Linked DNA regions of Caenorhabditis elegans. The protein of the gene in region 2 purifies or fractionates together with the protein of the main gene of each other region. This does not show direct contact. Each region holds a gene or a part of one and is shown on either strand. Other genes may lie near its edges.

Region 1 (7,649 bases), 5.0 Mb from region 2:
TTCCACTTCATCCGTATTGCCGATCGGTTCTTCTTTGGTAGTGGCAGGCGAAGTGAACTGACGAACGGAATGCCAATCGAAATCTGTGAAAACTCGTCCCTTTTTCCATTGGATAGCAAATGAGATCCGTTTCATCGAATAGGTTTTCTTTGCAGATGAACTTTTGAAAAGAGCAGAAAGTGAAAATAGTGCAGCTGTGAGAGGATTATACAATTCCCTGAAACAATTTTATATTTAGACAAGAAAAAAACCCATTTTATAACAACGATTCTTACCCATCTTGTGTCTCATCAAGACTTTCCGATTCCTTTGATGGGAAATAGTTTTGAATAAGCTCGAGATCAACAAGTCGTTCATCAACGGACATCGATGTTTCGAACATTTGTAGATGTTGAATTTGATCATTTGAAACTTTGAGAATATGAACTCTCATCCCGACGCTTTTTCCCGAAACTGCCAAATCACATCCAACAATCAGAAGAATATCCACATCGAATGAATAAGCTCTGATAGAATATACAGTTTCAGTTGGTTCCATTGGAGACTTTTCTTCCTCGAAGTCTGCAGATTCTAGATCTCGATTCAAAGATTTTCCGTCTGAAGCAAAGTAGTTATTCAAGTCAATAGTGCTTGGCAATTGTTTTTTCGTCTCAACATTCCATGCTTGCACCCATCCGTCTCTGGTAACAGCGAACACAATATCGGATTGGACTGAAATTTTTCGCTCTCTCGTGACTCCAGAAGTCGGGCGAAGATTCTTCATAACACATGCATCACTGACTCGTTTATCAGTGCCACCTAGAAGTTTTCCCAGAAGACCAACTTCTCCCATTGTGAATTCTTCGTGTTTATCACTGGATTCCGTGTATGATCCCAATGTGACAATGACCAACTGCCCTTCAGCGGTACAGTAAGAAATCTGAATTCAAAATTCGAAATATAGGTTGTAATCAATTTCCATTTTTATACCGTATTTCTTGAAGGATGATGTGTAACACTTGCACGAATCGGGCGCCCTGGTGTTGAAAGGGAGTGAGATGTTCTGAATCGGCGGAAATCGTCATCTTCTTTAATTCTTGCAAGAATTGAGAACGTCTGAAAATAATTATTCTCATTCGATTATGGAAATTTTTGAGAACAAACATCATGGCCTTTGGAGTGGAGTCTCGCGTAGAAACGATGAATTGCAGAAGCTGTGGGAACGACAATACATAAAACCCCTTCCTCGAAAATTGTTATCGATGTTCCAGGAATAATAGGTGTGCGTGTGAAGTCAATGCACAACGATCCATCCGTGATTGAGTAGAGCAAAGAACGCTCCTCAATGAACAGTTTCTGGCCAATCGCACGCCACAGGAAAATCCGATCGCCGTAATTTGAGCAGTGCGGAAATGTTGCAACTCCTGCGGACGGTTGCACATCAAATCCATTCGAATGAAGCGGCGCATCTAAAAAAGTGAAATTTGTTGTAGAAACAATTATTTAATGAAATTGAAACTTACTGGTGTTTACCACAAAAGTTCTAGCCGGCTTTATAGCAAATCCATCCGTGAAGCTGATTTCCGACCCGTAAACCAGCTCCATCTGAAATTAAGCATAAAACACGATGTTAAAGCAAAAGAGAAATATGGAGATGAAATAAACACGTTCAAAAATATTTAAATATCGTTAAAAACAATTTTTCATTGGCGTGAACTTGTTTTACTTGTTTTTTATACGTTTTTTTATACGTGAAAAAATGGAAGAAAACAATTCACTTTAAATTTTAATCACTTATCGAGAAGGTTCTCATTGGATTCAAAGAAAAACTTGTTAGAAATTTGTGAGTTTTTACAATAAGCTTCATATTTTGACACTTTGCGATGTAAAATTTTACAAAACAATGATGAATTGAGCCGAAAACGCCTCCATATGGAGCTCCATTCGAATTCAAAAATAAGGGGCGTGGCTGCATGAGCAATACCGCCGCATGGTATTTCGCAACATGCGCACACTTTTTCTCTGTCAAGAAAAACGAGGCCCCACGAAAAGGGGATCTGCAAAAAGGGGATCTGCGAAAAGGGGAGATACGAAAAGGGGAGATACGAAAAGGGGAGCAACGAAAAGGGGATCTGGCACTGTGCCAAACGCTATTTTTCTCGAAGAAAACGATACAACGATTGTCGCGAATACGCAGAATACTGAGTCATCAACAATGACAAAGCCGGGAAACTCCTGTTTGAAAGCCGCGCCAAAAGACACACACGTCACGCGTGTTACAGTACTACCACACATGCACATCAAACCCCAACACGTCGACACCACGCAAGGAAATCGTCACTTCTTCGTTTTACTCTTGGACCGGCAGGTCGCATGTTAAATATATGAGCTTTCTCATTTTTATCATTTAACGGATTTATCAGTAATAAATTATATAATTCTACCACTTTTGAACCTATACCGATCCGAAACATGGTGCATCGGCTCCGATGTTACGCGTCGCGTGTTGTTAAGCGTATCTTCTAGAAGAAAATTTCAAAAATCAACGTGCGTTGCGTGAGAAAAATTGCGTTTTGTGCGTTTGGCACAGTGCCAGCTCCCCTTTTCGTTGCTCCCCTTTTCGTATCTCCCCTTTTTGCAGATCCCCTTTTCGTTCTGCTCCCCTTTTCGTGGGGCCTCAGAAAAACGCGCGCCTAAACGTGAATTTTGAATTTTCTCCGCGTCCGCGAAATTCTTACGTTTCCATAGTAACAAAAGTTGGTCCGCACTTGTTTTTCATGATTATGCACGCCCAAAGAACGGTGCTGAAGCTTCAAATTTTGCAACCTCCTGTTCATTTTGACTCAAAACTCTTAATCCCAAAAAAACGCTCAATTTTGTTTTCGAACCCGTTTCTTGTTTCAGAAAACTTCGCGTTAAATGGAGGATAATTCTGTGCTCAACGAGGACTCCAATCTCGAGCATGTCGAGGGTAATTATAACATTTAAAATCAATAACTGCATAAATGCAAAGGTTTTTTAGGCCAGCCACGAAGATCTATGTCGCAACCAGTTCTGAATGTTGAAGGAGACAAAAGAACGTCTTCGACCAGTGCCACTCAACAGCAAGTATTGTCAGGAGCATTTTCGTCTGCTGATGTTCGTAGCATCCCCATCATCCAAACATGGGAAGAAAACAAAGCGCTTAAAACAAAAATAACTATCCTGAGAGTAAGTAATTTATCATATGCTTATTTAGAAATGATTTGAGTTTGTAGGGAGAACTGCAAATGTATCAGCGCCGGTATAGTGAGGCAAAGGAAGCGTCGCAGAAGAGAGTTAAGGAAGTTATGGACGATTATGTCGATCTCAAATTAGGCCAAGAAAATGTTCAAGAGAAAATGGAGCAATACAAACTGATGGAAGAGGATTTGCTAGCAATGCAATCGAGAATTGAAACTTCCGAAGACAATTTTGCCAGACAGATGAAAGAATTTGAGGCACAAAAGCATGCAATGGAGGAAAGAATCAAGGAACTGGAATTGTCCGCTACTGATGCAAACAACACAACTGTCGGATCTTTTCGTGGAACTCTTGATGACATTCTGAAGAAAAACGATCCAGATTTCACATTAACCTCTGGTTATGAAGAAAGAAAGATCAACGACCTGGAGGCAAAGCTCCTCTCTGAGATCGACAAGGTAGCTGAGCTGGAAGATCACATTCAGCAGCTCCGTCAAGAACTTGACGACCAATCTGCAAGGCTTGCCGATTCAGAAAATGTTCGCGCTCAGCTTGAAGCGGCCACTGGACAAGGAATCCTCGGAGCTGCTGGAAACGCTATGGTTCCAAATTCAACGTTCATGATCGGGAACGGTCGTGAATCACAGACGCGAGACCAGCTCAATTACATTGATGATCTTGAAACGAAGTTAGCTGATGCGAAGAAGGAAAATGATAAGGCTCGTCAGGCACTCGTTGAATACATGAACAAGTGTAGCAAGCTTGAGCACGAGATTCGAACCATGGTTAAAAATTCGACATTTGATTCTTCTTCCATGTTGCTTGGTGGTCAGACATCCGACGAGCTTAAAATCCAAATAGGAAAGGTGAACGGTGAATTGAATGTGTTGAGAGCTGAAAATCGAGAACTCCGCATTCGTTGTGATCAATTGACCGGAGGCGATGGAAATCTTAGCATTTCACTGGGACAAAGTCGACTGATGGCTGGTATTGCGACTAATGATGTCGATAGCATTGGACAAGGAAATGAGACTGGCGGAACATCGATGCGCATTCTTCCCAGAGAAAGTCAATTAGATGATCTTGAAGAAAGCAAATTGCCGCTCATGGATACATCATCTGCTGTTCGAAATGTAAGTGTATGAAAATTATTATTTAAAATAAAGTCTTGAATATTTAGCAGCAACAATTTGCCTCCATGTGGGAAGATTTCGAGTCAGTGAAAGACAGCCTGCAGAACAACCATAATGACACCCTTGAAGGTAGTAAAATTGATTCCTAGATTTTTTGAAATTGATTATTGTTAGGTTCCTTCAATTCGTCAATGCCACCACCTGGTAGAGATGCAACTCAATCGTTCCTCAGTCAGAAGTCTTTCAAGAATTCTCCGATTGTAATGCAGAAACCAAAATCACTTCATCTTCACCTGAAGAGCCATCAATCCGAGGGAGCTGGCGAACAAATACAGAATAATTCGTTTTCTACGAAGACTGCTTCTCCTCACGTGTCACAAAGTCACATTCCAATTCTGCACGATATGCAACAAATTCTGGATTCTTCTGCAATGTTCCTTGAAGGCCAGCATGATGTAGCTGTAAATGTTGAGCAAATGCAAGAGAAAATGTCCCAGATCAGAGAGGCTCTTGCTCGACTTTTCGAAAGACTTAAATCTTCTGCTGCTCTTTTTGAAGAGATTCTTGAAAGGGTATGAAAACTGTCAAGTTGTGAATCTGTAAATCTGAGTTTTTTGTAGATGGGATCCAGTGATCCAAATGCGGATAAGATCAAGAAAATGAAGCTCGCATTTGAAACAAGTATTAACGACAAGCTCAATGTATCTGCCATCTTGGAAGCAGCGGAGAAGGATCTTCATAATATGTCACTCAATTTCTCAATTCTCGAGAAGTCGATAGTTAGTCAGGCTGCGGAAGCTTCGAGAAGATTCACTATTGCACCCGATGCTGAAGGTAATATAAATTTTAGAGACGCTCATAAATCAATATTTTCCAGATGTCGCCTCATCTTCTCTTCTCAATGCCTCGTATAGTCCACTCTTCAAGTTTACAAGCAATTCAGACATAGTGGAAAAGCTTCAGAATGAGGTATCGGAGTTGAAAAATGAATTGGAGATGGCTCGTACACGAGATATGAGATCTCCATTGAACGGTTCGTCTGGAAGATTGTCGGATGTGCAGATCAACACCAATCGCATGTTTGAAGATCTCGAAGTATCTGAAGCAACGCTACAAAAGGCTAAAGAGGAAAATTCTACATTGAAAAGTCAATTTGCTGAACTCGAAGCCAATCTCCATCAAGTTAATTCTAAGCTTGGAGAAGTGCGATGCGAGCTCAATGAAGCGTTGGCTCGTGTGGATGGTGAACAGGAGACTCGTGTCAAAGCTGAAAATGCATTGGAAGAGGCTCGTCAGCTCATCAGTTCTCTAAAACATGAGGAAAATGAGCTCAAGAAAACCATTACTGATATGGGGATGCGATTGAATGAAGCAAAGAAGAGCGATGAATTCTTGAAAAGCGAGTTATCTACCGCGCTGGAGGAAGAAAAAAAATCCCAAAATCTAGCAGATGAGTTGAGTGAAGAATTGAATGGGTGGAGAATGAGAACAAAAGAGGCGGAAAATAAAGTTGAACATGCTTCATCCGAGAAATCTGAAATGCTTGAAAGAATTGTTCATTTGGAGACTGAGATGGAGAAGTTGTCGACTTCAGAAATTGCGGCCGACTATTGTTCTACGAAGATGACAGAAAGAAAGAAGGAAATTGAGTTGGCGAAGTATCGCGAAGATTTTGAGAATGCCGCTATTGTAGGATTGGAACGTATCAGTAAGGAGATATCTGAGCTAACCAAGAAGACTTTGAAAGCCAAGATTATCCCAAGGTATTATCAAACGTCGTGCTTGTTTTTTTTTATTTGAGAACATTTTCAGCAACATCTCATCGATTCAACTCGTTTGCGATGAACTCTGTCGTCGTCTTTCCAGGGAACGAGAGCAACAGCATGAATACGCGAAAGTTATGAGAGACGTCAATGAAAAAATTGAAAAGCTTCAATTAGAGAAAGATGCTCTCGAACATGAGCTGAAAATGATGAGCTCTAATAACGAGAATGTCCCACCAGTTGGAACATCGGTCAGTGGCATGCCTACTAAAACATCGAATCAAAAGTGTGCTCAACCTCGTAAGTCATACTTATGCACATCAGAAGTTGAATTTTCACCAATTCTCCAGATTACACGAGCCCTACTCGACAATTGCTCCACGAATCAACTATGGCTGTCGACGCAATTGTTCAGAAACTCAAGAAGACTCACAATATGTCAGGAATGGGTCCAGAGCTTAAGGAGACGATTGGCAACGTCATCAATGAATCCAGAGTTCTTCGCGATTTCCTCCATCAGAAGCTCATTCTATTCAAAGGAATCGATATGTCCAATTGGAAGAACGAGACCGTCGATCAACTGATCACAGATCTCGGACAATTGCATCAGGATAACTTGATGCTTGAGGAGCAAATCAAGAAGTACAAAAAGGAACTGAAACTGACAAAATCCGCCATCCCGGTATGAAATTCTTTTTCTATTGAAATCTATTTTGAAAAATATCATTTTCAGACACTTGGTGTCGAATTTCAAGACAGAATCAAAACGGAAATTGGCAAAATCGCAACTGATATGGGAGGAGCTGTGAAGGAAATTCGCAAAAAGTGAACTGATCTGTTAATGTATTAAAATGGAACCAGTTTTATCAACACTATCATCTCGACAAGATTAACTTGTAACGATTGTATTGTTTTCCCAGCCTAAAGATACACCTAATGCATCTATCAATGTACTTGTGAATTAAATGCTTCTTTTCTGGTAGTTGACTGCAATCCCATTACAGATAATAAAAGGAACAGATTAATTTAATGAAAAAACAGCGGACAATCTTACAATAATACAAACAGTTGAGATAAATAAGACAAATTTCGATGGAAGATTTATACAATGACATTGATCAGCTTTCCTCTTCATCCTCTTCGAAGATATTGTGAAGGTGATAAGCTTGACTTTCTGTAAAATTAAGGCGTTTTGTAAATTCAAGAAATTGTGAATACCTTACTTCTGTTTTTCAAGTCTTCCTTTTCGGTAATAGCCGACAAATTAAGGGAGAATGTGACATCGCTTGGATCTGCGTCTTCTCGTGATCGAATCGGAGTTGAACAATGACGTCCTGCACCAAGCTTACTTTCATCGAAAATCAACGGAGTCACTCCGCGTGACAGTGGATCATTTTCAGTGTTACCAGATGAACTTGTTGGCACATTTTCCTCTTCCTCGTCAACAGATTTCCGTTTTCGATTAGAATTCTCTTTCACGACTGGTGGCTCTGTTGACTGACCCCGACGACTACGACGCAAAGTGACGTTGGCCGAAATATTGACTTCCTTT
Region 2 (3,898 bases):
GAAAAAGAAAGTCTTCACCATTCCGACGCGTGCAAATGACAAAGGATAGCGTTTCTGAAAAATTTAGAAACAACCAGCATGATTCGGTAAACATATAGCGACTACGAACAAAGTTTAACTCGATTTATTTTCAGCACTTCGATCAATGGGGACAGCGTGCCAATGAAAGCCTAGGAAAAGTTGTTGGAAAAGCATTCCGTCATGAGAAAACTAAGAAGAAGAAGGGAAGCTACGGAGGTGGTCCAATCAACCAATCTATTAATTCTATCAAGTTCTCTGACTCTGACGATTAGTTTCTTAACTTTATCCTTAAGTTAATTTGTTTCCAAAATTGTTTCTCACCCCCGTCTACACTTCGTTTTTTATCTGTTGTCTGTTGCTTTCCTTTTTGTTTCCCCTTTAAATTTATAATCCTGAGTTGATCCAAAACAAATGTTTTGTATACTTTTGTTACTTCAAATATAACTTGTTATGTTTCCGTTTTTCTCCCTCTTGTCTCATCCATAAAATGTTTGGTCCAAAAGCTGTTTATTACCCTTGCAGGCCGAAATGAGTGGTTAGAATAGTTTTAAAAATAAAATTAGCGGGACTGCTATTGCTCGCGTCGTTCGTACTTCATGTAATCATCGGAATTGGAGAGGAATCCAGCAAACGTCGAGTTCATCCGATTAGCAAGAAACTCTTCCAATGTAATTCCATTCTGATTCAGACGCATCATATCTCTCAGTTCGGCAGTTGCTACTTCCGGGTTCACACTATTATCTTCCGGGACGTAATCTGGCAGGTTTTGAAGCTGAAATGATGACTTTTAAGCGATGAGAAAGTGTTCTTGGAGAGTTTTACTCACTATTGATCGAATTTCTTCCTCATCCAACAGTCCATCATCCTTTAGATCCAGAATTTCGAAATGGTATTTGGCGGAGGCAGTGGTCTGGAAATTTATTTTTTAGAACAATTTTTTGGTTCTGATTAAAAAATCGCTTACATGACGGAACTTTAGAGCGGTGACAAAATCAACGAACGCTTTGAAATCAATACGTCCATCTTCATAGGTTATTGAAATTTCGAAGATTCGCTTGGTGAAAACCTCATTGAAGATTCCGCTGAAAAATAGGATTTATAGACTGAAAAATAATTTCTTCATACTCTCTGAAAAATTTCAAGTCCGCTGGCGCCAACAATCCCTTTCGTTGGGAGTCAAGGAATCGGAATTCTGATAAAGTGGTTCGAAATTGAGCGACGGTGAATCTGAAAAAAGACTTTTTGAAGCAATTTATGGCACTGATAAATCATACACATCAATTTTCGGAGGTGATAAGCAATGATTCTCTGCATGAATACACTCTTCGAGTTGTAGTAGAAGTGTTGAAGCAAGTAAATCCTTCAAATATACACAGTCTCGCCGTCGAGCACCCAATAGGAAAAATATTGTTCCAACTGCGTAAGCTGTATAATAGACAGGATTTTCCGGTTCTTCAATCATAATTGGAATAAAATGTGTGGCCACAAAGTCTTGGAGACTCTGAAAATAGTGTCAGGATAATAGCTTTTAGAGTAGAAATAAGATACTTACATAACTGGAAATCTCTGTGCTATTTTCTGAAAATGGAAGAAGTTTGATGTAGGACTCCTCAGCGTGAATGACTGTTCGTACAAGCTCCTCTGAAATTCAAATTCTTTATAATAAGAACTCCCTGCTTTGCACAAACCTAAAAGAGTGATATCAATTGTTAAATTATAATTGGTTATTTTAACGAAATTCGACACTGTGTTATGTGGAAGTAGATCTTTGATTGATTGTGGTGAAGTTTTGAGTATTTTCTGAATAATTGCACATTCTTAATTATTGAATTCACCGAGAACCTTACCATTAATCGAGTTATCGTCACATATCTACTTTCTCCCCCTTCACCCCAATTTAAATCGATTTTGTTCGATCGAATGATGTTTAAAAAGCATTCGGCATTTTTTTTAAACTCCTCTACATCTATTCTTCGATTTTCGGCAAATATATCCATAACTCGATCATTAAATGTTCCTGAAAGATAATACCGCTGAATAATACATTTTCGCTGAACCCAACTCACGTTCGAAGTCACTCAATGCTTCGTTACTTTTCTTCAACATCAGGGATGTTGGAATCGTTGGTAAAATGGATTTTCGCTTCGAAGGTTCGTCGGTTGGCATAGTGACACGAAAATTGCAAGGGAGGAGAGAATTGAATTCGAATCTCGAGCGTTATTTTCTGTTGAAAATGGGCGCATTAAGTGCGCTCCACTGCATATTTTGTTAATATCAAGGGCGGCTATTCAAAATATAATTTTCAAAATTAATTACAATTTTTTAAAACAAGATCTTGCCCTTTTAAAAGTTAAATATTTTCATAAATGAAAATCTGCAGTGTGCTACAGAACATTTAAACCATCATCCGTGCTTCAAATTCATAACACCAGTTCAGAAATGAAGTTTAGGATATTTCTAGACTTGATTTGTTTTGAAATTATTATTTGATCTCTGTCTATTAGCGGCGCGCATTTGTGAAAATTTCAGGAAACGGCGGCAAAAATGTGCATAAAAGGAGAACGAAACGTTCATTTCCTCAGTCTTCACTGCTCATCATGCGTTTTTGCCTTCTCGTTGCTTTCATCCTTCCTGGGCTATTCCTCGTTCATGCAGCTCCGACTTCTTCAACCGAGCTTCCTGAAGCTAGTGGTGAAGCTCCAGAAACATCACCATTGGTTCAAAACGACGAACAGCCGCATCAACGACGTAAGTTTCTTTGAAATCTTTAAATTTTCGTTAAAAGTAACAAATTTCAGTGACGTTCTACAACTGGGACTACAAGGATCTCGGCACAACGGCATTCGAAGACATCTCGTTCCCAGCTCGACAGCCGCCAGCCTTCGTCAATCAGACTGAGAAGTGTCCCGATGGATGGCTTCGGTTCGCCGATTCGTGCTACTGGATCGAGAAGGAGCTTCTTGGATTCGCCAAGGCCGAGAGAAATTGCTTCGAGAAGCAGTCAACACTGTTCGTGGCCAATTCGATTGAAGAGTGGGACGCAATTCGTGTTCAAGCCAAGGAAGCCTTCTTTTCGTGGATCGGACTTGTCAGATTCACCCATTACGAGAAGTTGGAGCAGTTGCCAAGATGGCAGACTGAAGGAGCTCTCAATCCAACCAAAATGTAGGTTTTGTCAACAACAATTGATTGCTTCTAAATTTAATTTTTTCAGCAACTGGCTCATCAAACCATACAAGCCACTCTTCAACGGTTGGTCATCACTCGCCAATTGTGCTGCCAGCTACAAATCACCATCATCCCTGGAATCGGCATCATACACGTACTTCTACCCGTGCACGTATATGCTGTACTCCATTTGTGAACGCAATTCGACCATCGTCAACGCGTTGCAGTGAAGCCTTCTGTACTTCTGACACCAATCTAATCATGTAAACAATCATCCACAACTAATCGTTTATTATTTGTCACCGGGTTCCATCCCCCTTACGTTTGACAATCATTGCACTCACTTTATAAATTTTGAGACGTTATGTATTTATATCGGAAAATAAATTTTCAACATCAAATCCTGTTTTCTATCTGAGGACCTCTTTTGCTTGAAGCAAGTCGAGCATGACGTCAAGTTTTTCTTGCTAGAAGTTGGTGTTTCGGGAAATTGATGTGCAAACATAAATTAAGAGGCACCACGTTTTCAAGATCTGTTCAAAAACAAGATCTACGAAAACAAGATCCGCCAAAACAAGATCTACGTTTTCAGGATCTGGCACCGTGCCAACTGCGGTTTTCTCTACGCGTCGCGTGTTGCTAAGCGTAAATTCTAGAAGAAAATTTCAAAAAATATTCGTTTGAACGCTAAACAACACGCGACGCGTAA

What was found. Proteins that work in one complex are often made in the same cells at the same time.
Region 1: the proteins of rsa-1 (region 2) and spd-5 purify together in Caenorhabditis elegans (affinity purification with mass spectrometry; 2 studies listed by BioGRID, with this or other methods). This does not show direct contact.

What each region holds. Positions count from the first base shown.
Region 1 is NC_003279.8:5,170,771-5,178,419, reverse strand, and holds spd-5 (Spindle-defective protein 5), read left to right. Parts: upstream 1-1,765; 5' UTR 1,766-1,822; intron 1,823-2,883; 5' UTR 2,884-2,898; coding exon 2,899-2,950; intron 2,951-3,001; coding exon 3,002-3,189; intron 3,190-3,236; coding exon 3,237-4,334; intron 4,335-4,381; coding exon 4,382-4,463; intron 4,464-4,508; coding exon 4,509-4,906; intron 4,907-4,954; coding exon 4,955-5,168; intron 5,169-5,211; coding exon 5,212-6,097; intron 6,098-6,146; coding exon 6,147-6,397; intron 6,398-6,447; coding exon 6,448-6,779; intron 6,780-6,830; coding exon 6,831-6,926; 3' UTR 6,927-7,118; downstream 7,119-7,649. Other genes in the region: npp-6 (NUP160 middle TPR domain-containing protein), read right to left, coding at 1-217, 276-919, 970-1,095, 1,144-1,448, 1,503-1,584; Condensin-2 complex subunit hcp-6, read right to left, coding at 7,119-7,271, 7,316-7,649. UniProt on the Caenorhabditis elegans protein: Plays a central role in centrosome maturation and mitotic spindle assembly during the first division of the zygote. Required for the centrosomal localization of air-1 and zyg-9. Probably not required in late embryogenesis and during larval development.
Region 2 is NC_003279.8:10,184,167-10,188,064, reverse strand, and holds rsa-1 (Serine/threonine-protein phosphatase 2A regulatory subunit rsa-1), read right to left. Parts: upstream 2,210-3,898; 5' UTR 2,188-2,209; coding exon 2,088-2,187; intron 2,039-2,087; coding exon 1,869-2,038; intron 1,822-1,868; coding exon 1,710-1,821; intron 1,663-1,709; coding exon 1,574-1,662; intron 1,523-1,573; coding exon 1,296-1,522; intron 1,249-1,295; coding exon 1,147-1,248; intron 1,104-1,146; coding exon 986-1,103; intron 932-985; coding exon 848-931; intron 806-847; coding exon 593-805; 3' UTR 515-592; downstream 1-514. Other genes in the region: Nucleolar protein dao-5, read left to right, coding at 1-86, 135-293; clec-87 (C-type lectin domain-containing protein 87), read left to right, coding at 2,619-2,769, 2,820-3,186, 3,236-3,419. UniProt on the Caenorhabditis elegans protein: Regulatory subunit of phosphatase let-92 which recruits let-92/paa-1 complex to the centrosomes, thereby regulating microtubule outgrowth from centrosomes and mitotic spindle assembly ensuring the stability of kinetochore microtubules.